Sus scrofa: one gene and its partners. The protein of the gene in region 4 binds, or shares a complex with, the protein of the main gene of each other region. Links are inferred from orthologs where the notes say so. Each region holds a gene or a part of one and is shown on either strand. Other genes may lie near its edges. The genes, in order: TMEM17, TMEM107, TMEM231, TCTN1, TMEM67 and TMEM216.

Region 1 (5,217 bases), on a different chromosome or scaffold from region 4:
GTTCCCATCATGGCTCAGCAGGTTAAGGATCCAGTGTTGCCGTGAGCTGTGGTGTAGGTGGCAGACCTGGCTTGGATCCCCCATTGTTGTGGCTGTGGTGTAGGCCAGCAGCTGCAGCTCTGATTCAACCCCTAGCCTGGGAACTTCCATAAGTGTCGGGTGCGGCCCTAAAAAACAAAACAAAAACAAGCAAACAAACCCCCAATCACCCTAAGTTATAATTAAACTCACCCTTTTTCAGGCATACTGAGGCTTTGGAGTCCAAGTAAACCCAGAACTCCCCAAATGCCCTCAGAACTCTGGATGCCATTTTAGGACTCTTTGAGCCTTAATTTCTTTATCTGTAAAATGGTAATATTAAAATCACCTCACAGGTTGTTTGTGAGGATTAAAGATAATAGAAATTACTTCACTATAGAACCCTGCCTGGCCCTCAGTAGGCACTCAATAAATATTAGTCTCCTAATTCCTTCTCTTTGTTGACTTATACACAAACTCACTGTAACCACAGACCACAATATACTCAAATTTGAGACCCTCACAGAACATAGCATCTTGCTTTACACAAGGTAAAGACCAAATACAAATAAGTAGAAAGAATTAAGGACATTAGCAGTACAGCCATTCATGATACATGAATGAGTTTCATTTATCTAAAGTTGATTATAGCTGCAGCTGCCAGTCTACACCACAGCGACGCCAGATCCGAGCAGCATCTGTGACCTACATCACAGCTCACAACAACTCCAGATCCTTAACCCACTGAGCAAGGCCAGGGATTGAACCCATAACATCATAGTTCCTAGTGGGATTCGTTTCCACTGTGCCACAATGGAAACTCCAAGAATTTGATTTTTAAAATTGAGCCCCCCTACAAGGCAGCTCTGTGGCACAACTGATAGTACATTGGATTTTTAATGGATAAGCAATGAGGTCCTACTGTATTGCACAGGGAAATATATCTGGTCTCTAGGGATAGACCATGATGGAAGATATGAAAAGGAATGTGTGTGTGTGTGTGTGTGTGTGTGTATATATGTATATATATTTATATATATGTGTATATATATATATATGACTGGGTCACTTTGCTATACAGCAGAAATTTGGCACAACACTCTAAATCAACTATCCTTTGTTTTTTTAAAAAGGAAAAAATATAAAAAGACTTTATAAATTAGAAACAAATGAGCCCTACAAATGCATCCTAAATTTGACTAAAAATTCTAACAATTTAAGAACAGATAACATACTTTGAAATCCACAGTTCTAAAAGAATGGATTTACAAAGACTAAATTTTTTTTTTTTTTTTTTTAGGGCTGCCATAGGAAGTTCTCATGCTAGGGATCAAATCGGAGCTATAGCCACTGGCCTACACCACAGACACAGCAACTCGGGATCTGATCGAGTCTGGGACCTACCCCACAGCTCATGGCAACACTAGATCCTTAATCCACTGAGCGAGGCCAGGGATAGAACCCGCATCCTCATGGACCCTAGTTGGGTTCGTTAACTGCTGAAGGCTCTAAAATTTCTTAAAAGTATATTTTTATTTTTCTCTATAGCTGAGTATTTTATATCTATCATTTAACAATTTTAAAATGTAAAATAATCACAGTCTCTCATAGCAAGGTTTTCTTTAGCTCCAAGAATATCCCTCGTTATTATGATCTACTTTTTAAACATTGTGTGATTATGATCTACTTTTGCTTGTACTTATTGATTAAATTGCCACTGATCAAGGCATGCATTCTTAAAATCTGTTAAATCTGAAGATAACTCACCTGCCTAGGATTTTTTTTCATAACAACCATACAACTCTTGGTCAGCTGTGGACAAGGTCATAATATACCCTTGTATTTACAGTACAAATAATCGAACCTATTTCAGATCCACAAAGAGGAAAATGTGGAAAAATATGATAAATTAGTTAAGCTGAAAATTTTAATAACTTTAGAGCAAACACTGTAGTCAAATTTTGCAAAGAAGTTATTATGTTAAGAATTTTGTACACAAGCCTCTTAAGAGTTATGCTATGTCTATATTTCAGAGATCAAACTTATAATCATGCAGTTGAAAATCAAGTTAATATGTAAATGAACTTTGAAAGCAAGCACAAGACATGAATTTACTAAATTTTGCAAAAGTACAAGTTGAGTTCTATAAATGGAATTTAAATTAAAACATTTTATAGTATAAATCAGGGGTAGGCAGACTACCAGCCAGCTGCCTGTTTTTGTATAGCAAGTGAGCTAAAAATGGTTTTTTCACATTTTTAAATGGCTGAGAAAAAATATCAAAGAATAATATTTTGCGACACTGAAAATCATAGGAAATTCAAATTTTAGCATCCATAAATAAAGTTTTATTGGAACACTGCCAAGTCCATTCAATTACCATCATCTATGGCTGCTACATGCATCTATGGCCTGCAAGGTCTCAAATATTTACTATCTGGCCCTTTACAGAAAACCCCTGATACTTTACATCATCAGATTTTAGTGCCTGTTAAGCTTTAGAATCAGAAATGTAAAAGTCAATTTTTTTTTCACATTATGTTTTTCTCTGTACATCCTAAATCATGGAGGCTTAAATTGGAGGGACAGGCTAGTAATCAGCGTGGAAAATGAAACTATGGGAACAGACTTCTCTCTGCCTCCTTAAAAAAAAAAAAAAAAAAAAAAAAAAAATCCCTAAACCAAGCAAAAGGAAAAGATTTCTATTTCCCAGCACAGTTCAGTGATAAAAAGCGCACGGGTTTGGTTCACAGTATGTTGTCTATCATCATGATTTAAGAGGGGGAAACTGCAGGAAACTGCGTTGTCACTTGTCATGTTGAATGTAGCATCATGGTATTCTGTTACTTGATTTAGGGCAAGAGTTATATATAGGGAAGGAGAAGAAAGCAGGGAGAGGGTGAGTTTTGTTGGAGACGATGCTAGTGTGGCAGCTGCCACTCTGAATTGGATAGCGTTTAAAATAGTTCATTAAAACAAAAACAAAAACTTTTCATGCTTTCTGCCAGAAAACGGACTTGTGGTGGAACATACTTGTTCTGGTAGAAAAGAAAAAAAGGAAAAGATATTTTACTGGGGTTGGGGGTGGGGTGGGACGGGGAGATTGCCTGGGCTGTTTTCACTCCATCCTGGACATAATATGCCAGGGCGGATGCCGCAGAGGAAAAGCAAAGTCGGCCTTCTCAGCCTTCTCGGAGGGCGCGGGACTGGACGCGGAATGCGAAGGCGGGTTTTGTTCTTGTATTTTTTGAGGAAGGCTGGCGCCACGTCGGCCGCCCCTCTTGCAATTCGCCCGCGAGGCTACAGCACCATCAGCCGAAGACCGCCTGGGTATTTGGCCCCGAATATCTGGTCCTAGCCCCAGCCCCAGGCCCAGCCCCTCCTCCAAGGAGCCTCCCGCACTGCGGTGAACTCTCTGAAGACGAAACCGCCATCTTTGGTCTGGGCAAAATCTGGCCGCTCCACGCGCTGCGCTGAGCCTCGGCCACTCACCCGGACCCTCGCTATACTCCGGCCCGGTCCGGTTGGAGTCGCTGAACACGGTCCGGCTGAAGTTTCCCAGCCGCTGGCGGACCGGATCCGGCAGCTCCATGCTCAGGCCTCAGTACTGCTCCCACCTGGGTCTTCGGGCACCGTGGCGCTTTGAGGTTCCCACAGCAACCGGGCCGCGCGAGGCTGGGGGCTGGGGCGCACGCGCGGCCCCGCTGCGGGCTGAGGCGCCAGGCAGCCCTGGAAGATAGAGGAGTGCAGGGAGCCAGTTCCTGCCCAGCGCCTCAGCATGATGCCAAACCGCAGATTCCTAAGTCCTGCTTTAACGGCCACCATTTTAAAAAAGGAATAAAAATAATAATTAGTGACTAGAGTTGGATTGTGATACAAGGAGCTCTAAGACCTTGCCAGTGGGATACAATCTTTCTGGGAGAAAATATAGAATGAATGCTGAGTTAACAGACTGTTCATGACCCAGTAGCTTGTGTGTGTGTGTGTGTGTGTGTGTGTGTGTGTGTGTGTGTGTGATATTATTACATCCTAGGAATATTTTTTAATATATGCATGCCGTATGTATACAGACACATATGTATGTATACACATACATACTCTCTTATAGGAATACGTTATATATTAGGAATATTATATATATATACATAGCATATATATACGATACACATATATATTGGGTGAAATACATTGAAGCAGTTTAAAAGCATGTTTGCAATGAATATTTAATGATGGGTTAACTTTAAATTAAAAAAAACCAGAAGTAAAACTAAGTAGGAATGAACCTAATTTAGTAAAATGTGTGTGTGTAAATATATGGGGAGCAGAGAGGGGGAGAAGATGGCACAAGCACTGTGGCTTCAAAAGAAGACTAGAAGAAAATAATCCAAAATGTTAGTAGTAATGTCTAGATAGTGATTGTGGGTGATTTAAAAAATTTAAAATAGGAATTCCTGTTGTGGCTCGGGGGTTTAAGAACCCAACATAGTCTCTGTGAGGATGTGGGTTGGGACCCTGGCCTTGGTTGGTTAGAGATCCGGAGTTGCTGTGGCATAGGCCTGCAGCTGCAGCTCCAATTAGACCCCTAGCCAGGAAACTTCCATATGTCACAGGTGTTGCTATAAAAAGAAAAAAAAATTTAACCACTTAGTATTTTTCTAGCTTTCCCTCAAATAAGATGTATCGTTTCAGACAGACAGACAAACAAACAAACAGACAAACTGGTTAGGTACAATTATGTACAGAAAAGTGTACAAACTGAATATACAGGTGTAACAAGAACCCAGATCAAGAAATGTAACTTTGGAGTTTCAGTTGTGGCACAGTGGAAACAAATCCCACTAGGAACCACGAGGTTGCGGGTTCAATTCCTGGCCTTGCTTAGGATCTGGTGTTGCCTTGAGCTGTGGTGTTGGTTGCAGATGCGGCTTGGATCCTGTGTTGCTGTGGCATAGGCCTTCAGCTGTAGCTCGGATTGGACTCCTAGCCTGGGAGCCTCCATATGCCATGGGTGTGGCCCTAAAAAGCAAAGAAAAAGAAAAAAAAAAAAAGAAACTTAACTTTACCAGTACCCTCAGAAGCTCTCCCTTCCTATTTCCTTGCAGTCACTAACCCTCCACTTCTAACTAACCTTTCCTGACTTCTAATACCATAGAATAGTTTTGCCTATTTTTATTCTTTATATAAAAGTAATCATACAGC
Region 2 (5,396 bases), on a different chromosome or scaffold from region 4:
CTTGTACCACTTTGGGCAAATTAATCCCTACTCCATAGCCTCCATAGTCGCCTTTATAGCATTTATCATAATTCGCTATTAAATTACTCTGAGAATACTAGAAATTGTCTCTTGTCTGCCTCCATGAGCCATATCTATCATGCATCTGTGAGGGCCAAGGCGAGTACCGAGCATATTCACATTTATTCCCTCAGTACTACAGCGCTCTGCATATAGGAATTGCTCAGTTTTTGTTTTTTGCTTGGTTTTGTTTTTTGAGTGATAGTAAGAATGAAAGGCTGCCAGAAGGGACAGAGAGCTAGGATAAAATTATCTGTGTGTAGGCATCACCAGAAAGCATCTCCAGGGATGGCTGGGCTCCACCATTCCACTCAGTAATGAATCTAAACATGACCCTGAGAATACACATGCTTTAACACCGACCTTCAGACTCCTGCAGTCTGTGTATATAATGCGAAGCAGCATTCTCTTGAACGTGTTGTCATCACCACCTCCCAGGCAGCAGCAGCAGGGAGTTCCCTGCAGACTACTGAGTGGATTCAGAACCTGGACCAACCTTCCGGTGGAAACTGCAGCCATTGAGACTAAAAAGGAAGCCTGCTCCGCGGCAGAAGGGATTTGAGGAGTTAGCACTACACTAACATCCGCGACAAGAGCCACAATTGAAAAGAAAGTACTAGCAAGAAATAGGAAGTACAACGTCTTCCCTACAACAACAGCTTTCTAACCGTGAAGACTCTGATAAAAAGCGCTGATCGTCAGGAAGAATCAGATAGGAGCAATCAGGGTGTTGCAAGTCCTGATTACGCAGAGCCGTTAATCACGAATCATGCGAGCTCCAATCATCATTTTCCATTCTGCCCTCCCGAAGGAGGAACAGGTAAGGATTATCCTACCTGACGATAAGAACGTTTAGCGTGACATTCCGCACTCTGGGAAAAAGATTCCTCTCAAAGATAGGATGAGTAAACACTGCGTTGGTCCGAGCAACTAAGCCTACTTGGGTTCTTCTGTATATTTTGGTACATTTATTTCCAAATGTTTTAAAATAAGTTTTTCCATTTGGCTATCAAAAATGGATAAGCTAATTCCTCCCAGAATGCTCCACTCACTTACCAGCCGGGTGTCCCACCCGTAAGTACCGCCTTATTTACATATCCCCGCCCACCCTCCCGCCAGACTTCTACCGTAATAACCAAAATAAAAGCGAATATACTATTTTACAGTCCGCAGGCCTAGAAAACAGCCATCACTTTGGCCACCCCAATTTTCATCTGAAATTTTTATAAGTCGATCATATTCTAAAAATATATTTATTACAAAGAACTATAAGCAAAGCACACATAATTTCAGACTCGAGAGATAATTACTATTACACTGATACCCTCCATGACGCAGTTTTGGAGGAAGAGCTGGAGCCTCTGACTTCCTTCTTCCAGGAACGGTGAGCGATCCCTCGCTCTTCCAGCCTTCATCCGTACTTCCGGTCATGAAGGTATCAGAAAGGTTTCTTTTTCAGCCCAAAGACGCTGATGAATAACGCTATTTCAGTGACGGCTGGGAGGGCACTGCGGAAGATAGGTGGTGGTTTCGGGGTCCCCTTCATCCAATAAAAAAATCCAAATCCCCAAGCCAGAGATACCACCCCCAAATGTAGGAGGGAGGGGACTTCAAAAAAGGATGTTGAGTGGATCTGATATTTTATACATGGAGTAAAGAGCTGGGTGAGGGAAATCTTCAGATTTAGAGTTAATGTTGCTTTCCCATGCCCAAACATTGGGTGCTACCGTACCTGCAGAAGACAAAAATGTACCAGTACGTGGTGCATTCCCAACGCTCAAATATGAAAAAGGACAGGGCCACAGATGCACTACAGTGAGCCCCAATGGCTTGGAACACACTAGAGTCAAGGAAATCCTTTGGATCAATAGGTAGTAATGGGTCAGAAAAGGCCGGTTTGGGGGCTGGCATCTACATTCAGGTTTACATCCTAGGAAGCGGGGCACCTCTTGCTCCTCTTACCACACTGCAAAGGCCAGAGCCAGCAGCCCTGAATCCTGAGTTTTAGGGCAGCCATGTGAGTAGAGGAGCTGAGTCTGCACAGCTGGGACCTTAAGCAACCCCCACCCCATATCTAGCCTGGACCGTTCAGGTGAGGTAGTAGCCTCCCCATCTGTTCCAAGCACTCTGTGACCTTTTACTCTCTGCTGGAATCACTTTCCAGCACCCTGGTCCTCCCTGACCACAATTCAAGTACCAAAGCCTTCCCTAATCCATCTCCCTCACGTCCTCTGTCTCGTCTGTGTCCCCACAAGCTTCATATCTTTACACATCCCGTGGCACAGTGCTTATCACACGGAATTACAGATGTCTGTCTGTGTCTAACTCTTCCTCAAGGTAGAAAATTGTGTTTTACTCCCATTTTGAGATCTCCAGTGACTGATGTATAGCAGGAGCTTAACAGATGCCCAAAGATTGTATTAAATCTCCCACAGTGCCTAAGAAGATTTCTCAACTGGAGGGACTCTGTTTGCCTACTAGAACAAACACCAATGTACCAGAAAGGCCTAGTTAGGTGGCGGAGAGGAGCTGTGATGAAAATGGCCGGTGCAGGAAAGGTGCACGGAAGAAAGGATACAGATGAGGCTCTGGGTGCTGTTGAACATGGAAACTCCTGAGAAGAAACCGACCAGCTCCACTGCAAAGAGGCCCAGGGTGACAGAAAGCGCTGCCACCAGCCTGCAGAAAGGAAGGGTGTGGGCTTAGGCCTCTTGAACTTTTTCTAAGACCCCTTCACTTCCACGACTGCTTAATTCTGACCACCCTGCCCCAGGTGCTCACTGAATATCCTGCTTCTCATACTCCTCAGGGGTGAACGTGAGAGGCAGGCAGGCCTGGATGTTGCTGTCCTGAGGAGCAGGGCAGAAAGAAAGAAGTTGAGAGAGGGGCGGCGGTGGCGGGGTGGGGGCGGGGGGGGGAGCACCCGACCGGGTAAGCCCCCGGGGAGAGGCGTAGAGTGGGGCCAGGACCACTCCAAGGTGGGAGCGTGGACTAACGGAGCGGGGCCGTGGGTCTTACCCTGGACCAGAATAAGGTGATGACGACCACCAGATGCGCCAGGAGCGTCAGGAAGCGAGAGGGCACGAGCCCCGAGACCCGGCTCATGGCCCCCAGGGGACGGGGTACTGCCTGGAGCAGAGGCCGGGGTTTCTAGGGCTGGAAACTCGGGGAGGGCCAGTCCTCAAGTCTCCTAGGCTAGCAGACAAAAATTCGACGTTCGCCTCCTTCCCGCTCGCGCTGGCACCGCCCAGTTGCCTTGGTAACTGCGGTAGCTGGTGCTGCGACCGGATCTCTGAAAATCTCGCGAGAGCATTAAACTGTCAAGCAGCTGCGTGCCGTCGCGGGACTGCAAGTCAGGTTGCGTCGTACTTGATTCCGGCGGGAGGCCGATTATCCGTTGCCTGGTCACTAGCAGCCGAGCGGTCAGCACCGAGTGTGCGGTGGCGCTGCCCTGCATCGTCCAGTCTGCCCGCGCAGCGCCGGCGAACGGAAACCCTCCGGGCCTAGCCTGGGACCCCCCCCTTCTCCGGATGCCCACGCCGGGTGCAGCCCGACCCCCAACCCCTGCTGCGTTGTCCCGGATGAACCTCCGGACACGGCTGTCTGTGCCTGAGGCCTGGATGCTCTCTCTCCTTCCCTCCTCCGCATTCCTTTAGCTCCCACGTGCCCTGGGCCGAACGTGGAGAGGTGGATGTGCCTATGTTGTCCGGCTGCCACTTGTTGTCCCAGAGCCCCTGGTCGTTGGAGGACCCCATACCTGCACCTTCGTTGATTCTAGTTCCCCCTCCCTCACGCCCCAGACACCTTTGCTCAGACTGGTGAGGGATTTGCACATCGCGGAAAGTGGCCCGCTCTCTTGGACTAGGGTGTGCCCCAAGAAGTGTGTTTGGGGAAGAGAGGGAACAAAGAGGACCAGAAAGGGCTGGGGATGGGGGTGGAGGCAGGGAATGAGACCTTGCGTCCCCGGGAGGCCAGGAGCGAGGGTGTCGATGCAGACTCTGCAAGGATTTCCTTATCTCTTTGAGGCGTGGGCACTTGACTTTGCCCAGCTACTATCCAAGCATCTCTCACTATCAGCGACCTCCCTGACCTTTGGGCCTCAAAAGGGTTCCAGGCAGAACGGAAAGTTCTGGCCGGAGTTCATTTCTCATATGCACAACCTCACAGGGACCTCCCTACCCTCTTACCGGATCATCGCTCTTCTTCCCGTTGCCAATGATAATAATCAATAAAGGATCTAAAATAAGAATTGAAGAAAATTTCATTTGAGCCAAACTACTGAGTAGCCCTGAATCTGCTTCCCATATCACTCTTAGAAACTGCTCAGAAGATGCATGATTTCCAGCACTGTATTATATCCTGTCAGAACAAAGAATATTAAACAAGTCGGGGCTGCAATTCTTCAAGATTGAAAAAAAAAAAAAAAGAACAGGCCAGCACCTACGCAGTGAGTTAGTATGTCCTTGGCACCTGGGAAGGGAGTCTTATCATCCAGGGAGTGCCAGCACTGGCACCCCAGGAAGAGGGCACATTATTTTTAACAATGGGTATTCTTTTCTTCTGGTTCCTGTGCCTGTTTCTATAACAATTAAAGCAGATGTGGAATGTTTGACAGGCCACAAATAGGCTTTCGTGTGTGTGTGTGTGTGTGTGTGTGTGTGTGTGTGTGTGTGTGTGTGTGTGTCTTTTTAGGGCCGCACCTGCGGCATATGAAAGTTCCCAGGCTAAGGATTGAATCTGAGCTGCGCCACAGCCACACAGGATCCGAGCCGCATCTGCAACCGACACCACAGGCCACAGACAACGCTGGATCCTTAACCCACTGAGCGAAGCCAGGGATTGTATCCACTGTCCTCATGGATACTAGTCGGGTTCATTAACCACTGAGCCACCACGGGGACCTCCCAAAGAGGCTATTTTAGTTAGCATAAAATTCAGGTTAACTCATGTGTCAGCCAGAATGTCTTCCCTAGATCTCAATGTGTGACAACTTATTTTATCAATTTTATCAATACTCTCCATCTTATGCTTCTAGGCTGATTTAAACGACAAGCCCAAGAGGCATTTTTTATTTCTTCATTCATTCAACAAATACTCATTGACCAGCTAGTAAGTCCCAGGCACTGTGCTGGGCTCTTGTACTTGAGAAACAGACAGAAGTCTCTACCTTTGTGGGGGTCAGAGAGACTGACATGAAATATGAAAACAAATAATGAATCTGCATGATAATAGCACCATAAAGAAAAAATATTTAAAGGGAAATATTAGAATAATGTGGTCAAGGAAAATGTCTTTGAAAATGGGTCGTTTGGGGGAGTTCCCATTGTGGTGAAGCA
Region 3 (4,700 bases), on a different chromosome or scaffold from region 4:
AAAAGGCAAAAAGACAAAAACAAAAAAAATCAAAACCAGTGAATGCTTAGTCGTGGGAGGTGAACAGGGTACTCAGGATTTCTCCTTTTTTCCCTCACGCCCTATCCCTCCCCTCCACTGCTCCCATGCTCCAGCAGGTTCCTGCCAATTCTCTGCCACCCTTGAGGTGCTCCCCGCACCACACGTATAAAATAAGCCAAAGACAAGCTGCTCTCCATAGTTTTCAGGTGGAAATAGGGCATGTGAGCGACTCACATGGCAGCGGCTGAAGTAGGAGCGAGCACCCAGGCTTCGGGCTGGAAGGCAGAGGGGGTCCATCCCTCACAGCGGAGGAGCTCGCAGGCCAGCCTGTGTGCTTGGCTCAGCACATCTGGCTGGTTGGTGGTCTGAGGTTTTCTCTAAAGGCATCTAAAGCGTTGCTTGGCAGCCAGACGTCATAGATACTCTTCACTGACATATACCAAGTCAGGGGACTGCAATTCCAGTATTTCCTTCTGATTTTATGTACTACACCAGCAGCATTATTCCCCAAATAAAGGGATTTTAGATCACCTTAAAAACATTTATCCACAGAAGTTCCCTGGTGGCCCAGCAGGTTAAAGATCTGGTGTTGTCCCTGCTGTGGTGCAGGTTTGATCCCTGACCTGGGAGTTTGCACATGCTGTGGGCGTGGCCAAAAAAACCCCCATTTATCTACAAGTCAACTTTTCTCTTTATGGCTTCCAGTCTTTGTCCAAACACAGGTTTTTTTTTTTATACAGCTCTTATCATAGTTTAGAGACACTTTACGATCCACCTTATTTTTGTACTTTGTAATATAAATATTTCCCCACACGGCTACAAAGTTTTAATTGGTTTTCTTTTTCGTGGTAGTATAGTATTCTTTTGCTTAGCCATTCAACAGTTGTAGAAGACACAGACTTTTCAAGTTTTTAATGTATTCTGACAAGTATTTTAACAAATAATGTGTGAGCAACTCTGCATGTTCCATTTCTCTTTCCTTTCAAATTATTTCTTGGGTGGAGGTCCCGTCATGGCTCAGTGGTTAACGAATCCGACTAGGAACCATGAGGTTGCGGGTTCGATCCCTGGCCTCGCTCACTGGGTTAAGGATCCAGTGTTGTCGTGAGCTGTGGTGTAGGTTGCAGACACGACTCGGATCCCGCATTACTGTGGCTGTGGTGTAGGCCGGCGGCTACAGCACCGATTCGACCCCTAGCCTGGGAACCTCCATATGCCGCAGGTGTGGCCCTAGAAAAAGAAAAAAAAAAAAAAAAAAGACCAAAAAAAGTTATTTCTTGGGGATGAGTTCTGCAGTGTAGAATTTGCCTGAGGTCAGATTGTTCTTATAGCCTTGACTATTTTATTGCCTAAAAGAGCATTCATGGACTAAGTCCCGATTGTATTGCAGTAACCACCATCCTGACCAACCCCAACCCCATCTGGCTGGTGGGAAGGGCTGCAGAAGCTCCATTTGTAATTAATGCTGTCATCCGATACCCTGTGGAAGTCATTTCATATCCTTTCTGGTAAAGGGCCAACAGGAGCTCGGTTTCACAAAAGAAAAGAAGGATTCCACAGTTGTCCCCAAAAGGAACAGATGTGGGAAGTCTCAGATTGGAAATTGCTGCCACTGGAGTCTCACAGATATGACTCTGTTTGTCTGCAGTTGATACAGAGAAAAAAAAAAAATTCATTTCCTGTTCCTATTTCTTTTTGAGCAGTTCTTCTAGGTCAGAAGCATCCATATTTATGTCTTAATAATCTTTTATTGTCTCTTTTATCTTAAGGGTATTTGAAACATTTTTGTCATTTTCTGTCTCAACTAAACCTCTGGTTTAACATTTACTTAGAAAATGTCATCTGTGATTCCTTAACTGTTGGTACTTATCTCCCGGGATTCTGGGAAATGATAAAGTTTGCCTGGGTCCAGTATGTCAGTATCCTGCTCATCTTCCTCTGGGTGTTTGAAAGAATCAAGAGGTTTGTGTTTCAAAATCAGGTGGTGACCACAGTCCCTGTCACAGCAGGGTCGCAGGGAGAACCATACAAGGAGCACTTATCCTAAGAAGACCCTTTCGGAAAACTCTAAGCCGGACCCTGGCTGTCTCACCATTGCCTCCCGAGACCTGCCATGTTACGAAATTTCTAAAAAGAAGCCCTGGACACTTGCCCGCCTCTGTGATTTCCCGTGTCGGAGACAAAGAACAATCCTGTCTCATTATCCTCTACACAAATGCCATATCTTCTAAGCGCCTACAAAAATAATCAGGGACTAGTTTGTGGAAACGGGCTGAGGGTTCCTGAAGGCTGTAATTTGCTTTGGTTTTTGTTTTTGGATTTTTTTTTTTTTTTTTTTTTTTTTTTTTTGCCTCAGACTTGAATGTCAGGAGAAAACCCCAGTCAGTTCAGACCTCTTGGAAAGAGTCCCATCTCTGGTCAAGCAAAGACTTTTCCTCCCTTGAACTGAGAAAAGCGCTCTGCATTTCTTTCCCCCCAGTGTCCACCACGGTTCTTACTCCTTCCAGGGCCCCCTGGTGATAGATATGCAAATCACCAGCACTTTGCCCTCCTGGGCATCGACGTTTCCCATTCAGAACTCGTTTCCAGAACTGAGAGGCCTTTAACCGGACCCCTGGAGCGAAACCGGGGAGCGCTCCGGAGCACATGTGTGCACGTGCGCCAGGGTGGGCGACTTGAGGTCACCAGGACCATCCGTCCACCTGCCCTGAGCCTAACAGACAGTCGTCTGTCAGCAGCCCAGCTCAACAGCCCTTTATCCCTGCCCTGCTGTGCCTGGCTCTCGGCCCTCCGTCTGTGCCCCTGGAATAGCGGGCTGCGGTCCGCCGGGCTGGTTCATTCACAAGCCCCTTGGCCCCGGTGGGGGAAGTAAGGAGCCTAACAACAGCTTCTTTCTCTCTGGCCCTCGCCCAACAGCCTGGACACTTGCCACTCCTTCTCCTTGACAGCCCTCCCCTTCTTGAAAAGGACACGGGGGACAGAGGCGCTGTTGTTGCTGTGGGCTCCCCCTGCCTGACAACCACAGAGTTTACTTGCAGGGCCAGCAGGACGCCCATCAGAGGGGGCCGCTTTGGGGAGGACCCCCGAGGAGCAGGGAGGGGACGAAAAGGATGCTAGCCCGGGGAGTCCAAGCCACTTAGCGGAGTGACACACAGTCCAGCCAAATTACCCTCATGACTAAGTGAGTGTCTGCAGACGAGGCCACTGGAACCAGCCTCTGTCGCCTGTGGAACAACTGACCTCGCCCTAAGGACTGCTGGACCTGCTTTGTGACACCGAGATGTCACTGGCACTGGAAGGACATGGCTTCTGTGACCTACACTTCATGCCCATCCACACACACACACACACACACACACACACACACACACACACACACTCATGGGCACATGGCATGCCTCAGTTTCCCCTGGAGACTCAGGTCTTACTTCCCAAGCACCTCTTCTTTCAGGCTGACCAAAATAAAGAGTTTTGGAAACAAAGCGCCTTTGACGTATTCACGCACAAAAACAGCTGAACCCTGGCCCCTCTGCCTTTTCTTTTAATAGTCAGGGCTGTTGTTATGCCTAAAGTTTTTTTTCCCTGAGACTTAAGTGAAAAATCATTTCTGGTTTGAATCACCAAAACGTAACGAGGTAAGGAAAGATAGCTAGAGATATGTATAAACACGGCTTTGCCTTTTATTAAGTTATTTTCAAGCAAAATGTGTACAGAGAGCCACGATGTTTTGTAACTTTCTAATTAAAATGTTCAAACTGCAAGGCTGCATGTGGCTTTTTAGAGGGCAGGCATTTGGAAAGGGGAAGGACAGGGAGGGCAGAGGCCGGACACACCTCTCCGGGTTACTCACTAGCGGCTTGCTTTGCCAGGGCTCTGCCCAAAGACCGTGGAGCTTTTGTTAGCTCTTTGGCCACAGCCTTCTGGCCCAGCCCCAAGTAAACGTGAGTTTTTGGTGGAATCCACACGGCATGTGGAAACCACAGGCTGGAAAATTACAGCTGCGTCTAGTGAATATCAAGTTATTTACAGATCCCCCCTTGCCAGCTCTGAACCTGAATCTGCACGTTGTAGGTGCCAGAGGAGGCAAAGGTGAGAAATATATAGGATTTTATCCGCTGGCTAAGTCATGGTTTGAGACAATTAATATTTGGCAGGGGAAATCCCTAATTTTGCCAAATGATTATCCCGTTTCTTTTGAATCAGGTGAGGCCCATAAAGTCCCACTTAGCTCCCATCATCTAAGATTAATAAAGTCTTCTTTTTCTTCAAGTACACGCTTAAAAAAAATTTTCCCCCATAGGTTCTAAATGCCTATAGGAGAAAATGTGTAATTGCAGAAACCTAAAGAGAATAAGTTGTCTGTAAATCGCTCTCCAGAGGTTATCACTGTTGGGAGTTCCTGATGTGGTGCAGTGGAAACGAATCCGACTAGTATCCATGAGGATGCCAGTTCAATCCCTGGTCTCGCTCAGTGGGTCGGGGATCTGGCATTGCCATGTGCTCTGGTGTAGGTTGCAGACACAGCTCGGATGCTGTGTTGCTGTGGCTGTGGTGTAGGCAGGCAGCTTGTAACTCCGATTGGACCCCTAGCCTGGGAACTTCCATATGCCACGGGTGCGGCCCTAAGAAAAAAAAGTTATCACTGTTGGCATTCTGATACACAGATACACATCTTTTTA
Region 4 (4,700 bases):
CCTAGTTCTGCCACCTGACAACATTTTTCTCAATTACTGTACAATTAATGTACAAAATAAACTCTCTCCTTCCCTTGGGCCCTCCTACTATATTCTTTCCAGCTTCAACTGCTTGGAACCACTCTGTGGCATCCCATTCCAGCCCACCAGCTGGAGAGCAGGCTGGCTCCAGTGCCTAGTACAGAAATGGCAATTAGACCAAGATGCCACTGTAATTAACATGACATTTGGAGGAAGATCCCCTCGTGAGACCTTGTACTCTGTTTGCACGATTTTATACAATAATTTGCTATTTTTGTACTCATTTCAACAGGACCTGAAAAGATAGAAAACCTGAACTAAAAAACAATGAATATTTTTTAAATAACTCACATTAAAGCAGGGGATGAATAAACTGGATAAACCCTCAATGCCTGCGCTACTTCAAGGTCTGATTACTTCGCTGTCTTCCCAAGGTTGCAACTTGGTCTCCACAAGTGACCTATGTGTTGAGAGCACTGGTAATGACCAAGACCAGATGGGGGCCCCTTTTAAGTTAAACCAAGTAAAATGAAATTGCCAACAGGAGAAAAGAAAGGAGGGGAGTGAGTGGCGAGGGGAAGTGTGTTGGTTTGGGGGCAACCTCAAGGGTTTTAAGTATAATAAAGTGGAGTGTCTCTGAGGGACGCTGGGTCCCCACATGCTCGAGTCTACAGGCGTGGTGTAGTTTCCTTGTTTAATGACTTACGTCAAACAAACGGGAAGAAGAAATTAAAGGGCAGCCTGGCGTTGATGGTTGGCCGAGCTCTGAAGCCTGCCTCTGCAGGTGCAGATACATCCACAAAAGTAACCGCAGTAGAAATAAGAATTGTCCTTTCATTTCCTAAGTGGGTCTGTAATAAAAAGTCAGAGTGATGCAAGCCCTGCCTTCCAGCGTGTTACCAGGATAACAAAGGTGGGACAGCTCTCATTCCCTTCCTCACCCAACTGCTGTCGGTTCATGAATCTGGTAGCCACGCAGAGGGCTCATCAGCCATTAACTCAGAGGAGACAGCTGTCATTCAGGTTGTCCTAACACATCAATATCATTCACAGCTCAATTTTCATGAGAATTGTAAATTTCAAATCTAAACAAGAATGCTAATGTGACTAAAACCACTGTGTTCAGTGGAATTTTTTTCCTCTAAAAGATAATGACTGCTAAGCTGTTTTAACAATTCAGATTGTTTAAATTTTAATTATTCTTTTTTTTTTTTTTTACAAAATAATAAATTTCATCTATCACAACTGAGTTTTGTCTGGACTCATGTCTTAACCCATACCTTTAAAGTTAGGCCTACCTCAGAAAAAGAAGATGAAATTAGATTTGCAGTTACATTGACTATTTTAGCCTGTGGGTTCAATAAGGATCCATATTTAGTCCACTTCACTTCTATAGCCAAAGCCACTGGGAGCTGGCAAGAATCCTGCAAAACAAAATGCCATTAATCAACGTATTATACAACCTCAAGTCAAACTTAATCTGCAGTTCAGAGTTTTAATTATAAAATGTTTCACATATTACAAAATGTTCTGAACAAGAGAATGAATAGACTCTAGAAGTTCAGATAAAAACAGCTTAGAGAAAGCACATATTTTAAAGTACTCAATGCTCCACCTAAAGCATAATTTTTCCATCCCTTCCTATTTCTAAAGAGGCCAGCATTTACCTGGGAGTTGTGGTAACTCTAATAGCTAAATGTGGAACCTCCAGGGCTTTAGGAGCTCTAACCTCACCTACCTGTTTACATCCACCACAGAGATACCTTAGAGGAGAAACTGGCAACAGGGGAGGGAGTGGGAAGTAGTATTATTATCAGAGAGAAATAAAACCTGACTGCATACCATGTTAAAATGCACTTAGAGAAAATTTAAGGGCTTTCTTCTCATTTATCTGATTTCACCAGTTGGCAATGAAGATGTTACATCAGGGTAAACAGACAGTGTCTTAAGTTGTCAAAGACATTAACTCTCCATCTGAACCGAGAGCACTGGCGCCACAGTGGCGCTACCCAAGTGCAGGCTGGACACTAGGAGCCAGGCCTGAGGCCTCTGCCCTAGGACCTTTGTTTGGTCTGCCCCATGGGGAAAATTGGCAAGTGGGCCTTCCAGACCTCTTTCTTGCCTTTAGTTTCTTCAGTTGGTAAACGTGATAATGTTGAAGCCGTACAGTGGGAGATGGAATTCCACTGTAGTGTTCTACTTCTGTGTAGGTAAGAAAGTTTCCCACAGTAAAAAGTTTTTAAAGATACATCTCTTTAGGGCATGAGAAGCTAGCAGGCCTGCTAAATTTGGTGCCTGCCAAAGAGGCACGGGTGAGATTCCTTGGCTTAGAACTGCCTTTGAAGAAATCTACAGGCTGAAAAATCCTTGAGAATATTATTAGGAGGAGATGCAGCTGATACGGACTGAGTCTAGCAGATACTCTCATGCCGCTCCACCCGGAAGGCTGGTACGGAACCTGCTCCCGGCCCTCTGAGCTCCCTGGACCAGCACAGACCTGGGCAGTGCTTATGTCCATCCTGCTGCCTCTCTCCGCCAACTCTGTCTTCCCTTCTGAGGGGGAGGTCATAATTGGATGTCTGAACCCATCTCTGAGAAGCCCCAAGCAGCCTGCCTGGTTCAATGGGGCAACAGAGCTGAGCCAAGACTCAGCAGCTGAACAGCAGGGACTGAGTAATCACAGGTCTCCGCTGGGCACCGGGTGGGGAGGGCGGGATCAGAGCTAGCGAGCTAGTCTTCACCCCCTTTATCCCCGAGCTATAAATACACCAAGCAGATAATGAGAGGCCTGAAGCAACTGTGACAAGCAAAAGCTGGGCAATTAAAGGATAAGATGGAGAGCACGCCTCCAGTGACGGCGGCCCACACTCTGACTGCTGAGACAAAAGAAAAAGGTGGGCAGAAGAACCACATGTGATCCGGAACCTATTTGTAGGATGTCAACTTCCATTAAACTCCTTCAGGAACTTTAGAATTGAAAGCACTCACATGTGGACTGCTTTTATAAACCAGGGAACAATGGATGGGACAGCTATGTGGATGGGGGAGTCTTGCTGAGACAATCCTGACACAGCTATCATATCACGATGTCTAAAGGAGGCCTCGTATAACGCCAACCAGGAACAGGATGGCGACTGGTCGCGGTTCCCATGTATAGACTAACCTCTAGGCACCATGAACATCACGTCATTTAACCCTCAACAAGCCCATGGGGTTGGTACCAGAGCTATCAGGTGAGGAAACAGGCTCAAACCCATCCAGCTGCTGGCCAAAGGCAACAGTGGGGCAAAATCAGGACTCAGGATCCAGGTCCATCTGACAACATTGTCCAGGCTCCTATCCAGAGCACCCCCACAACAATAGGTGCCCCCTACCCACCGGCATGTGGCCTTCCAACTTCTCCCCTTTTACCTTCACATGGGATGTCTGGGTGATGAAGTGGATGGGCACCCAGTCCAGCACATCCTGGGCCTGGGAATTTCCAAATGGGGCCACGTAATCTGGGAAGCCCTGACCCTTCAGCAGGCTCTTCACCTTCTGGGCTGCCAGCCGACATGTGATAGTTTTGGTCAGCCTTTTGGGAAGGAAAACAAGGTCAATTGAATGAGGTGATTGTTCGTTCATACCTGCAGTTTTTCTTTTTTAATTAATGTCAGTGATGAATACTGGTCTAACCAAAATAAGGATGTCGATATCCTGGGGAGATATAAGGATGGGAAGCAGTGTGTGGTGGGATAGGGATCAAAGGAGAAAGAGCCAAATCTTCACCCTCCACAGTGGGAACTCAATAAATAAGTAGAATAAAGTAGATAAACAACAAAGACCTACTGTAGGGCACAGAGAACTACAGTCACTAGTTTGATTTTTTTTTTTTTTTTTTTTTTTTTTCTTTTTAAGGCCACACACTTGGCATATGGAAGTTCCCAGGCTAGGGTTCAAATCAGAGGGACAGCTGACAGCCAAACAGCCACAGCAATACCAGATCCCAAGCCACATCTGCAACCCACATCACAGCTCATGGCAACACCAGATCCTTAAGCTACTGAGAGAGGCCAGGGATCAAATCCGCATCCTCATGGATACCAGTCGGGTTCTTAACCCTCTGAGCCACAACAGAAACTCCGATTCAGTATTTTGTAATACCCATAATGGAAAAAAAATCTGAAAGAGAATAGATATGTATGTGTGTGTGTGTATATACACACATACACACACAAGTTCACACACACACACACACATATGGATAACTGAATCATTTTTCTGTGCACCTGGAACATTGTAGATCAATTTACGTTAATAAAAAATTAAAATAAGTTATAAAACAAAAAATCAAGAAGTAGTCTCATATGTAGGCTAAAGATTTGGGGGTAAATTTTCAAAAAATCAGCTATAACAGTTGAAAGGGACTGCCTCTGGGATGGGGAAAATGAGGGTAAGAACTGCTATCTTTAGAACATGCCATCCAGAGCTGTTTGACATTTTACATTATGTTTGAAAATAAAAAAACAAATTACAAACAGAGATCACATTCAGGCTTCTTCTCATTAGGTTAGCTGTGCTGAGTATATTAAAATTCAGAAGTATAGGAAGGACTTCAGGGAAAGTATTTTTCTATGAATTCAAGTGCAAGGCCACCTTAGAAACAAAACATACAAAGCTTTGAGATTTTCACTCTGTCT
Region 5 (4,700 bases), on a different chromosome or scaffold from region 4:
ATAAGGCTACAACATCATTTGGAATCACCGGAAGCTCATCAAATAGCATGGAATCACTAAGTTCACAGGATTTTTATACACATATTGATTCACCGTTCCTTCTTCTGTGTTTCTCTGAAATGGGGATATGAAAGGAGACACACTGCCTTCCCCTCACACAGGAATCTTGCGCAGACTCTTTCTCATGGCTTCCAAAAGCATGTTTTGTTTTCTAGATCACATAACTTCTTTATAAGTAAAGGTATTTTCAACTATAATTTGCTTACCGTAATTAATTTTTTCTATTTCTGGTATTGACAGTTCTGATTAAAAACACATTTTTCATGTATGGAATACATTTAAACTGAGGCACTGTCCTAGTTGGAGCGTTACTGATCAAACAAAGGATAAAAATCTAAGTATGGGATGATTCCTCTCTTCATGAAGCTCACAGATCAGTGGGGACAGCAGGCTCTTAACAACCACAACTGGATGAGATCCACCACAGGGGCACATTAAGGAGCTTCCCGTCCATTGACACAACAGTCAAGTAGGGAAAGGGGTTGCCATGGAAAGAGGAGGAAAGGAATATGGAAGCAGAGAGAACTAATGTGGAGAGTTGAGCACTTTGTCAGCATGGTACCTTCTACTCTCAACTAACAGATTAAATTAAATAATTAAAAAATTTTAAAGGCAGATTTTCAGAATGAGTTATTTATTATAAATAAAAGTAGACTTCCTAGTAAAATAGAATACGTGTTTTCTTCCAAAATTAGACTAAATTTTACACTAAAGGTTTTGAAAGCATTTTCATGTTAAAGACTTAAGTGTTTATTAGCAGGCCTTTTAAATTCAGGGATCTGTGCTTTGAAATTCACCTTCCAACAATGAGATCCTGCTGTATAGCACTGGGAACTATATCTAGTCACTTATGATGGAGCATGATGGAGGATAATGTGAGAAAAAGAATGTGTATATGTATGTGTGACTGGATCACTTTGCTGTATAGTAGAAAACTGACAGATCACTGTACACCAGCTATAATGGAAAAAATAAAAAAATTAAAAAAAAAAAGAAAGAAAAAGAAACTTACCTTCAGAGCAAAAGCACATCCCACGTAAGTAACAAAACGTTTTTCTTGAGCCGGCGTTGGTAGCAAAACAGAGACAGACATCTGTGCCTGTGATAAAAATTATGCCACTAAATATGATCATACAATATTTTTACTAACACTATTGATAACAAGAAAGCATAAAGGATGAAGGTGGTGATGCACTTGATAAACACAGGACACTCAGGGAATGGTGAGTTTAGCAACTTGCCTCAATACTCTTAACAGAAATACCTTCAAATAGGAGTTCCCATTGTGGCGCAGGGGAAATGAATCCAACTAGGAACCGTGAGGTTGAGGATTTGATCCCTGGCCTCGATCAGTGGGTTAAGGATCAGACGTTGCCGTGAGCTGTGGTGTAGGTCACAGATGTGGCTTGGATCTGGCGTTGCTGTGGCTCTGACGTAGGCTGGCAGTAACAGCTCCAATTAGACGCCTAGCCTGGGAACCTCCATATGCCACGGGTGTAGCCCTAAAAAGATAAAAAACAAAAGCCAAAAAAAAAAAAAAAAAAGAAAGAAAGAAATACCCCCAAATAAAAATAGTTCCTTTCTAAAAAGAGCTTAGCAGTTATTTAGGTATTGGCACTTAAGGTTAAATTCAGAAAATCACTTACTTTGAAGAAGATAAGCCAGTAAAGACCAGTTCCCAAAGTGATGGTAAAGAAAACATTGGCCAGATCACCGGCATAGTAAAACAAGAATTTCATAACGGTCTGCAATTAGAAAAGAGAATTACAGCTATAATAGACTCAATCTATTTATACTATTACCTTTAGTAACACATTATCAACCAAGTTTCTCAAGCTTGAAGCTTTGTTTCATGTATCCATGGATCAGTTAGAAAGACAACTGCAGCCACTTCCTAGTAGCCTTTAGGGTCCCAACCTTTCGATCCATTCTCAACAGCCTCTGTCTTAGTCAACCCTTCTCATCTTTCACCATCTGAAAAGTTATAAACCGCTTCCTAATTTTCTTCTAGTCTGGAACCCTTCTCCCCAATCTATCCTCCATATTATTACTACCAGAGTTGGCTCCCAAAAATATAAATTTAATTTGCATCACTCTCATTCTTAAAAACATATAGTGACTCCTCACTAAAATGTAAATTCCTGACCCAAAGGGTCCTCCACAACCTAAACCAAAATTAAAGTTTTAGCATTATCTGCCAGTTCCAACTGCTTAATCAACAACTGACCACTCCATACCTTCAAGCAAAATGTTTTGAGGATTATTATGGGCATTGTCTCATCAAATATTATTCCCTTCTTCTTTCTGGCAAACTCTAGTGAGCTCTGAGGGCAGAGAACGTGTCTCTCTTTGTTCACTATCACATCCCCAGAGCCTGGTAGAGATCCTGGCGTGCTGGGCATAGGCCATCAGAGACTATTTGTAGACTGCACAGATAACCCAGCAGAAAGTTCACTTCTCTGGGAAGCCTTTATCAAGCCCCTCTTCTCTGATTCCTTGGCACTTTAGCTCTGGAGTCAGGAAGACATCACAGTACAAATAAGTGTACTGCCTTGCCTTTATGTTCTTAATCTGCTAAATGAAAATAACCACCTCTTACTTTGTTGCTATAAATATTAAATGAGGAGTTCCTGTCATGGCTAAGCAGAAACAAATCTGACTAGTATCCACGAGGATGCAGGTTCAATCCCTGGCCTCCCTCAATAGGTTAAGGATCCGACGTTGCCATGAGCTGTGGTGCAGGTCGCTGATGTGGCTCAGATCCCAAGTTGCTATGGCTGTGGTGTAGGCAGGCAGCTAGAGCACTGATTTGACTCCCAGCCTGGGAATCTCCATATGTAGCAAGTGCAGCCCTAAAAAGAAAAAAAGAAAAAACAAAAAAAACCCCAAATATTAAAAAGGATTAGATGAGAAATGAAACCATAAAGTTAATAGAATAAAACATGGGAGAGTATCTTTTTGATCTTGAGATGGGGGAGTTTTCTTCTTCTTTTTTTTTACTTTTTAGGGCTGCACTTGAGACATATGGAGGTTCCCAGGCTAAGGGTTGAATGAGAGCTACAGCTACCAGCCACAGCCACAGCCACAGCCACAGCCACAGCAACACAGGATCTGAGCCACGTCTGTGACCTATACCACAGCTCACAGCAATGCCAGATCCTTAACCCACTGAGTGAGTCCAGGGATCAAACCCACAACCTAGTTGGATTCGTTTCCACTGCGCCATGATGGGAATTCCAAGAGGGAGTTTTCTTAACATGATCCTAAAAGCACATACCATAATATGAAAACCTAGTCAGAAGTACAATATTAAAATCAAGAGTTTCAGGAGTACCCATCATGGCGCAGTGGAAATGCAACCAGCTAGGAACCGTGAGGTTTCGGGTTCAATCCCTCACTTCGATTGGTGGGTTAAAGATCTGGCACTGCTGTAAGCTATGGTATAGGTCACAGACACGGCTCGGATCCTGCGTTGCTGTGGCTGTGATGTAGGTCAGCAGCTGTAGCTCTGATTGGATCCTTAGCCTGGGAACATCCCTATGCCATGGGTGCAGCCCTACAAAAAAAAAAAAAGAGAGAAAAAAAAAAAAGGTTAAAACTAAATAAATAAATAAAATAAAATAAAGAGTTTCTGTTAAACAAAGTAACACATACATAAAATAACAAATAAATCCCCCGTGGAGAAGAAATTTCAACATCAAAAACCAAAAGGGGATTCATATTCAGAAAATATTTAAAAACTCCTTAAAATAAGTAAAGTAAAAAAACATGTTTAAATAAACAAGAAAAACTGGAAACTTGGGAGTTCCCGTCATGGCTCAGCAGGTTAAGAACCTGGCTAGTAGCCATGAGGATGTGGGTTTGATCCCTGGCCTTGCTCAGCAGGTTGAGGTTCGGCTCAGAGCCCGTGTTGCTGTGGCTGTGGTGTAGGCCAGCAGCTGCAGCTCTGATTAGACCCTCAGCCTGGGAACTTCCTTATGCCACGGGTGTGGCCCAAAAAGCAAAAAAAAAAAAAAAAAAAAAAAAAAAAAAGAAAGAAAAACTGGAAATTTAATAGAAAAATGGGCAAGTGATATAAATAGGAAGTTCACAGAAGGAGAAACTCAAATGATTAGCAAAGCATATGAAAAGTAATCAGAGAAATGAAAATTAAATCAACAATGACATACCACCTATCCCACCAGATTGGCAAAAAATGGAAAGACTGGAAAAACCACAAGGACTGGTGAGGCTGTGAGAAAACCACAAGGATTGGTGGGTGTAGACAGGCCTACAGCAATGTGGGAGAGAAACGAACATACACCTCTCCTAATTACCACCCAGAGAAACTTGAGGCAACTTTTTACCCATTTTCTAGCTGGGTCTTCTTAGAAGAATATGAAATAGAAGATAAAAAATACACTTTAAAAATTCCTGCAGTCATACCTGTAAATCAATCATGGGACTTCCAATGCGTCTCTTCCACCCTGCTGTCTTCAAGAGAGATGACAAAACAGCTAGTCCACCCAACACACCCAAAGCAATCTAAAGGAAAAAACACTTTGGAATTTATGTGCTTTCTCTCATCAACGTTCAAAGATATTGTAAATAAAAAGTAAGGAAGTACTCAAAAAGTGGTGGTGGAAGGTATGATAAAAGGA
Region 6 (5,213 bases), on a different chromosome or scaffold from region 4:
AGAGCCATAGCAATGCGGGATCTGAGCCACGTCTGCGACCCACACCACAGCTCACGGCAACACCAGATCCTTAACCCACTGAGCAAGAGCAGGGATCGAACCCACAACCTCATGGATACTAGTCAGGCACATTGCCATTGAGCCACAACAGAAACTCCCAGTGCACTTTTTTTTAGGGCCACACCCACGGCATATGGAGGTCCCCAGGCTAGGGGCTGAAATGGAGAAGCTGCAGCTACCAGCCACAGCCACAGCCACACAGGATCTGAGCCATGTCTGCGACCTACACCACAGCTCACGGCAACACTGGATCCTTAACCCACTGAGCGGGGCCGGGAATTGAGCCCGTATCCTCATGGATACTAGTTGGGTTCTTAACCTGCTGAGCCACAAAGGGAACTCCTCCCTTGCTAATTTTTAAAACGAGGTTATCTTTTTCTTAGTTCTTTATGTGAACCTCTTTTTGTTGAAGTTATTTTTTTCCCTCAGTGTATGTTTTAACACCGTTTTCAGGGATGAGGTAACTCATGAGGGATTGCTCTGTACCTCCGGGGATGTAAACTTGTCCTAGAGAAATCCTTTTTCAGAGAACCGGAGGGGACCTTATTGCTGATCTACTGCCCTGGACATGGAGTTACAACGAAATCTCTTCTCCCAAGAAACCAGTGAGAGGAACCAGGCACTCCTGTAGTTAGATAATCGGGAAGGAATGATCTAATATCTCATGCCGCCACCCACCTGTGGCGCAACAGAGCAATAGACAGGTAAGTCTTGACCCCAAGTATGAAGCCGCCTGAAACTTCAGAGAGGGTGTAACGGGATATGCCACCAGATCCACTCTCTCATTGTGAGCCAAGGTTAAGTGCTTTTCTTTGTTCATCAAGTTACAGATACCAGCTCATCTCGCAAGGAATGGAAATAGCCTCTGGACAACACTCACCAAAAAACAGTCGAATTGCTTCAATGCCAAGATAAAGGAAGAGCATCACCACATCCAGGACCAGATTGGCTGTTGGATATGGTAGCAGGAGACCTGCGATACAAAAGCCAGAGTTTGCAAACAACGTCGAACAGCACACACAAGGTCTCCCACTCACTTGGGAATAAAGAGAACATGAGTCTTATCATGTTCTCTTCCCATGAGCTACTTACTGAGATACGGGCAGGATCCGTTAACTCATGGTGCGGCTATGTCTGTTAGAGGCAGGCTCGTAATTATGGGCTTTTACTCCTAACTCCAAGAGTCTGTGGGGCTCTACTGCATATGGAATGGATGGGTGGTCAGTGGGGACCTGCTATTTATAGCACAGGGAACTCTACTCAGTATTCTGTGATAACCTACATGGGAAAAGAATCTGGAAAGGAATGGAGATGTGGATATGTGTAAATGAATCACTCTGTTGTACAGCAGAAATTATCGCAACATTGCAAATCAATTTATAGTTGCAATCACTATACTTCAATAAAACCTTAAAAAAAAAAAAGATTCTGTGGGGACGCCACTCTCCAGTTATCAGATCAGATGTACACGGATATACGGCGCTGAATAGCTTCTGAGGGTCACCAATGGGCTTAAAGTGGAGTTCAGCAAAGAGAGGTGACAGGGGAGAGTCAGAAGGGAGAAGCCCCCATTTCCCAAACTCAAGAAATTCTTGCTGAGTGGCTTCCTACTGAATCATTCTCAAGGAAGCCATCTGATGAAGAGACCTTGCAGTGAAGAAGAGCTGCAGGGGAGCAGAAAAGAATGAAAAAATAAGGCTTTGGGTGGGAGCTGGCTCTGGGCTGAAGTGGGGAAGGGATGTTGGGGAAAGGGTAGTTAAACCCCAGACCTTACCTTTATACAGAAATATGAAGAGTTCCAGCAGGAAATAGGTAGCATAATACCACCCGTTCAGAAAGAAGAGGATTTCCAGGGGGGTGGAAGATAACCGTTTACCTGAAAATAGGAGCACAGAGAAAAGAGACGGGCTGGAGGGCAGGCAGCTCAACCCCAGTTATTTGAATGGTTCTGTGTCTAACTTGGAGGAAACAGGAGGCCGCAGCTGGTGGAAAGGGCCACTGGCGGCACTTCTGATTGTTGATGAGAAGGTGTCTGTGTGGTGTGTGTGTGTGTGTGTGTGCACGCGCGTGTGCGTACGGAGTGTGGAGGGGTTTCAGCTGACAGAAAGGGTCCCTGGGGGCACTTCTGTTTGCTGATGAGGAGTGAGTGTGTGTGTGTGTTTCCTTCAATCTCCTCCTTTCCAGAATCGCCATCAAACTCTACCGCTTCGGCTTTGGGGGTGAAAGTCAGGGATCTAACCTCGTCGCTATTTAGGAAGGAAAACTGGGACCCAGAGACAGCACTGGCCAGTGTGAAGCCACGCTGCAAATTCCTATTGAGCCGGCCTAGAACAGGCTGAGCCAAGGATTTGGGGGTATTTGAGACCCACATCTCGAGACCTTCTGGCACTCAGGGTAGGTGAGGCTGCTAAACCCTGCTGTGGACAAGTGAGGAGAATGGAGGGTTCAGGTCGACGCTGGGAGAGGAGGGCGGGGTGGGGGGGGAAACTGAAGGGATCAGGACCAGCAACTCACACACCTCCAGAACCTCACCTCGCGGCGCCATCTTCAGTCCCCATGGAAACTGCATACGCGGCTACAGCACTCCTGGAGCAGCGAGGCGTTGCCGGAAGCGAGGGACGGAGCGGCCCTGGATTCGGGCCCTTCTATCCGCCTGCTGCACTCGATGGTTACCTGGGGCCGGGGGCACTCTTGTGACGGCCACGCCTGCGCCGGGAGGAGCGCGGGCCGCGAACCGACTTCGCTGGGGTTTTGGCAGAGGACTGATAAGAAAGCAGATGATGTCGTCTGCAGGACTCCGAGGGCGGGGCAGTTTTCGCCCCGCCCCCATCCCAAATTTACCAGGAATTGTTCGAAGCAGCCAGTAGTGGTAATGTGATCAGAGTTGGTGAATAGGCCCTGGTCCCATGGTTTCTTTACTAACATGGGTCTTAAAATGAGAAATAGTGTGCGCGACAGTGCGCTGCAAATGCGGCGTGGAGTTTGGGGATCCTTTGTGTAAACAGTCTTTTTCTGAGGGGAGGGGATGCGGGGGTAGGGTTTTTCTATGCATCTGATTTATGTACCAGGGAGTTAGAAGATACCAAAGTTGGAGTTTCCCTTGTGGCTCAGCGGAAAGGAACCTGACTGGTATCTATGAGGATGCAAGTTGGATCCTTGGCCTTGCTCAGTGGGTTAAGGATCCAGCGCTGTGGTTAACTGTGGTGTAGGTTGCAGACGTGGCCAGGATCCCAGGTTGCTGTGGCATAGACTGGCAGCTACAGCTTCAATTCGACCCCCAGCCTGGGAACATCCATGTGCCACGGCTGCGGCCCTAAAAACTAAAAAGACAAACAAAATAAAAAAAATAAAAAGAAGAAGAAGAAGGTACCAAAGTTAGTCGGAACTGGAGGCTCCTTTCAAGGAGCATAAATAAGAGCAAAAGATGAAATATAATCAGCACTTGACCCCAATGTGCAGTGGCAGTTGAGAAGACAAAGTACTCTCGGTAGGGGTTGGGAGACGTTTCCAAGACATGGCCTGTAAACTGGGCTTTGAAACTTGTTATGATTTGGAGCAGTAAAAATGTGTTACCCCACAGGGCAGGGGACTAGGAAGAAGGGTTGTTTTTTGCTTTTTTAAAATTTTGTTTATTGTAGTTGATACAATGTTCTGTCAATTTCTGCTGTACAGTAAAGTGACCCAGTTACACATATACATACATTCTTTTTCTTACATTTTCCTCCATCATGTTCCATCACAGGAAGAAGGGGTTTGAATGGACTCAGGGTGACATAGGGGTTAGCCCACTGTCAGGAAGGGTAGGACAGGAAAAAGATGTCACACTTGTAGACTTTTAAAAAATGCGCAATGTGAGAATTGTGAGTTAAATTTTTGGGCCGTCAAAGTGAGGACTATAGCCTGGGAGGCAGCATTTCAGATAGCTCTGGAAAAAAAAATGCTCCAAAAAAGTGGGGGCAATGCCAGTATATATGTGATTTTGGTGAAAGGGGTGGTACAATTTAGCAGAAAGTTACTCTCCTTTGGTGAAGTTTCCCGCTAGTCATGAGGAGCAGGCATCACCATGAAGGATTTTAGCGCTTTTCTAGATATGAGGAGATGCCAGGATTGGGTTCATAAAGTCTTCTCCCCAAAACACCTATCTGAAGACCTGTTTCTTCCAGTTTTTTTGGGGGGGACACAGCCACATCCATGAAATACATCTGCTTTCATGTAATAGGCTTTCATGCTTTCAGGCTGAGTCGTTGCATCACTTGTTAGGACTATATGGCTCACAGGCTTAAATATTTACAATCTGGCCCTTTAAGTAAAATTTTGCTGACTCCTGTCATAGACAGCAAGGAGTAGCTCCCATCGGTGCTAAAAATAGGCAATAAGATTGAAATAACAAACACAGGAGCATCATTGTGGCATCCTGGTTCCCTGGTACCCAGGGCCTATGAGTAACACAATGAGCTTGAGTTCGGCAGTGAGAGACCTTGGTTCTTATCTTCCTTGGGGGAAGAATTCAGCAAGGTGACCAAGACCGTGAAGCAGGTGCAGTTTATTAAAAGCACAGTATGGAGAGTTCCTGTTGTGGCATAGCTGAAACGAATTTGACTTTTATCCATGAGGATGTGCTTCCATTCCTAGCCTTGCTCAGTGGGTTGGAGATCCGGCATCACCGTGAGCTGCAGTGTAGGTCAGAGACAAGGCTTGGATCCTGAGTTGCTGTGGCTGTGGCGTAGGTCGGCAGCTGTGGCTCTGATTCAGCTCCTAGCCTGGGAACTTTTATATGCCTCAGGTGTAGCCCTAAAAAAGCAAAAATAAAGTACAGTATGTGTGGCATTCCCTGGTAGCTCAGTGGGTTAAAGATACAGTGTTGTCACTGCTGTGGCTCAAGTTCAATCCCTGGCCTGTCACTACTGTGGCTCAGGTTCAATGCACACCACAAGTGTGGCCAATTAAAAAAAAGCACAGTACATGTGAAAGAGCACACAGGGGTGAGCTTACAGAAAGAGCTGTGTACAATAAGAGTGGCTTCTATAGCTTTTATGGGGGGCCAGTGCTCCAAGTTGTCAGGAGTGGGGTGTTGTCTCTAGCCAACTATCTTGTTTGTGCCCATATTTCTACTGACTCAGGGTCCTTCCTGGTGGCATGTGCATCTTTTGCTG

Evidence for each region.
Region 1: TCTN1 (region 4) and TMEM17 share a complex: the UniProt entries of both Homo sapiens proteins name them as parts of the tectonic-like complex. The link is inferred for Sus scrofa from reciprocal best matches to the Homo sapiens genes TCTN1 and TMEM17.
Region 2: TCTN1 (region 4) and TMEM107 share a complex: the UniProt entries of both Homo sapiens proteins name them as parts of the tectonic-like complex. The link is inferred for Sus scrofa from reciprocal best matches to the Homo sapiens genes TCTN1 and TMEM107.
Region 3: TCTN1 (region 4) and TMEM231 share a complex: the UniProt entries of both Homo sapiens proteins name them as parts of the tectonic-like complex. The link is inferred for Sus scrofa from reciprocal best matches to the Homo sapiens genes TCTN1 and TMEM231.
Region 5: TCTN1 (region 4) and TMEM67 share a complex: the UniProt entries of both Homo sapiens proteins name them as parts of the tectonic-like complex. The link is inferred for Sus scrofa from reciprocal best matches to the Homo sapiens genes TCTN1 and TMEM67.
Region 6: TCTN1 (region 4) and TMEM216 share a complex: the UniProt entries of both Homo sapiens proteins name them as parts of the tectonic-like complex. The link is inferred for Sus scrofa from reciprocal best matches to the Homo sapiens genes TCTN1 and TMEM216.

Annotation. Positions count from the first base shown.
Region 1 is NC_010445.4:79,414,216-79,419,432, reverse strand, and holds the start of TMEM17 (transmembrane protein 17), read right to left. Parts: upstream 3,667-5,217; 5' UTR 3,611-3,666; coding exon 3,511-3,610; intron 1-3,510. UniProt on the Homo sapiens protein: Transmembrane component of the tectonic-like complex, a complex localized at the transition zone of primary cilia and acting as a barrier that prevents diffusion of transmembrane proteins between the cilia and plasma membranes.
Region 2 is NC_010454.4:53,393,756-53,399,151, forward strand, and holds TMEM107 (transmembrane protein 107), read right to left. Parts: upstream 3,310-5,396; 5' UTR 3,166-3,309; coding exon 3,079-3,165; intron 2,910-3,078; coding exon 2,842-2,909; intron 2,740-2,841; coding exon 2,639-2,739; intron 1,890-2,638; coding exon 1,793-1,889; intron 1,569-1,792; coding exon 1,499-1,568; 3' UTR 745-1,498; downstream 1-744. UniProt on the Homo sapiens protein: Plays a role in cilia formation and embryonic patterning. Requires for normal Sonic hedgehog (Shh) signaling in the neural tube and acts in combination with GLI2 and GLI3 to pattern ventral and intermediate neuronal cell types.
Region 3 is NC_010448.4:12,160,362-12,165,061, forward strand, and holds the end of TMEM231 (transmembrane protein 231), read left to right. Parts: intron 1-1,411; coding exon 1,412-1,517; intron 1,518-1,887; coding exon 1,888-2,068; 3' UTR 2,069-3,533; downstream 3,534-4,700. UniProt on the Homo sapiens protein: Transmembrane component of the tectonic-like complex, a complex localized at the transition zone of primary cilia and acting as a barrier that prevents diffusion of transmembrane proteins between the cilia and plasma membranes.
Region 4 is NC_010456.5:32,003,407-32,008,106, reverse strand, and holds part of TCTN1 (tectonic-1), read right to left. Parts: intron 3,596-4,700; coding exon 3,433-3,595; intron 1,446-3,432; coding exon 1,320-1,445; intron 1,271-1,319; exon of another isoform or gene 873-1,270; coding exon 729-872; 3' UTR 1-728. UniProt on the Homo sapiens protein: Component of the tectonic-like complex, a complex localized at the transition zone of primary cilia and acting as a barrier that prevents diffusion of transmembrane proteins between the cilia and plasma membranes.
Region 5 is NC_010446.5:42,896,103-42,900,802, forward strand, and holds part of TMEM67 (meckelin), read right to left. Parts: intron 4,585-4,700; coding exon 4,486-4,584; intron 1,806-4,485; coding exon 1,707-1,805; intron 1,160-1,706; coding exon 1,073-1,159; intron 1-1,072. UniProt on the Homo sapiens protein: Required for ciliary structure and function. Part of the tectonic-like complex which is required for tissue-specific ciliogenesis and may regulate ciliary membrane composition.
Region 6 is NC_010444.4:10,119,009-10,124,221, forward strand, and holds the start of TMEM216 (transmembrane protein 216), read right to left. Parts: upstream 3,253-5,213; 5' UTR 2,630-3,252; coding exon 2,593-2,629; exon of another isoform or gene 2,579-2,592; intron 1,937-2,578; coding exon 1,835-1,936; intron 1,259-1,834; exon of another isoform or gene 1,153-1,258; intron 1,034-1,152; coding exon 941-1,033; intron 1-940. UniProt on the Homo sapiens protein: Part of the tectonic-like complex which is required for tissue-specific ciliogenesis and may regulate ciliary membrane composition.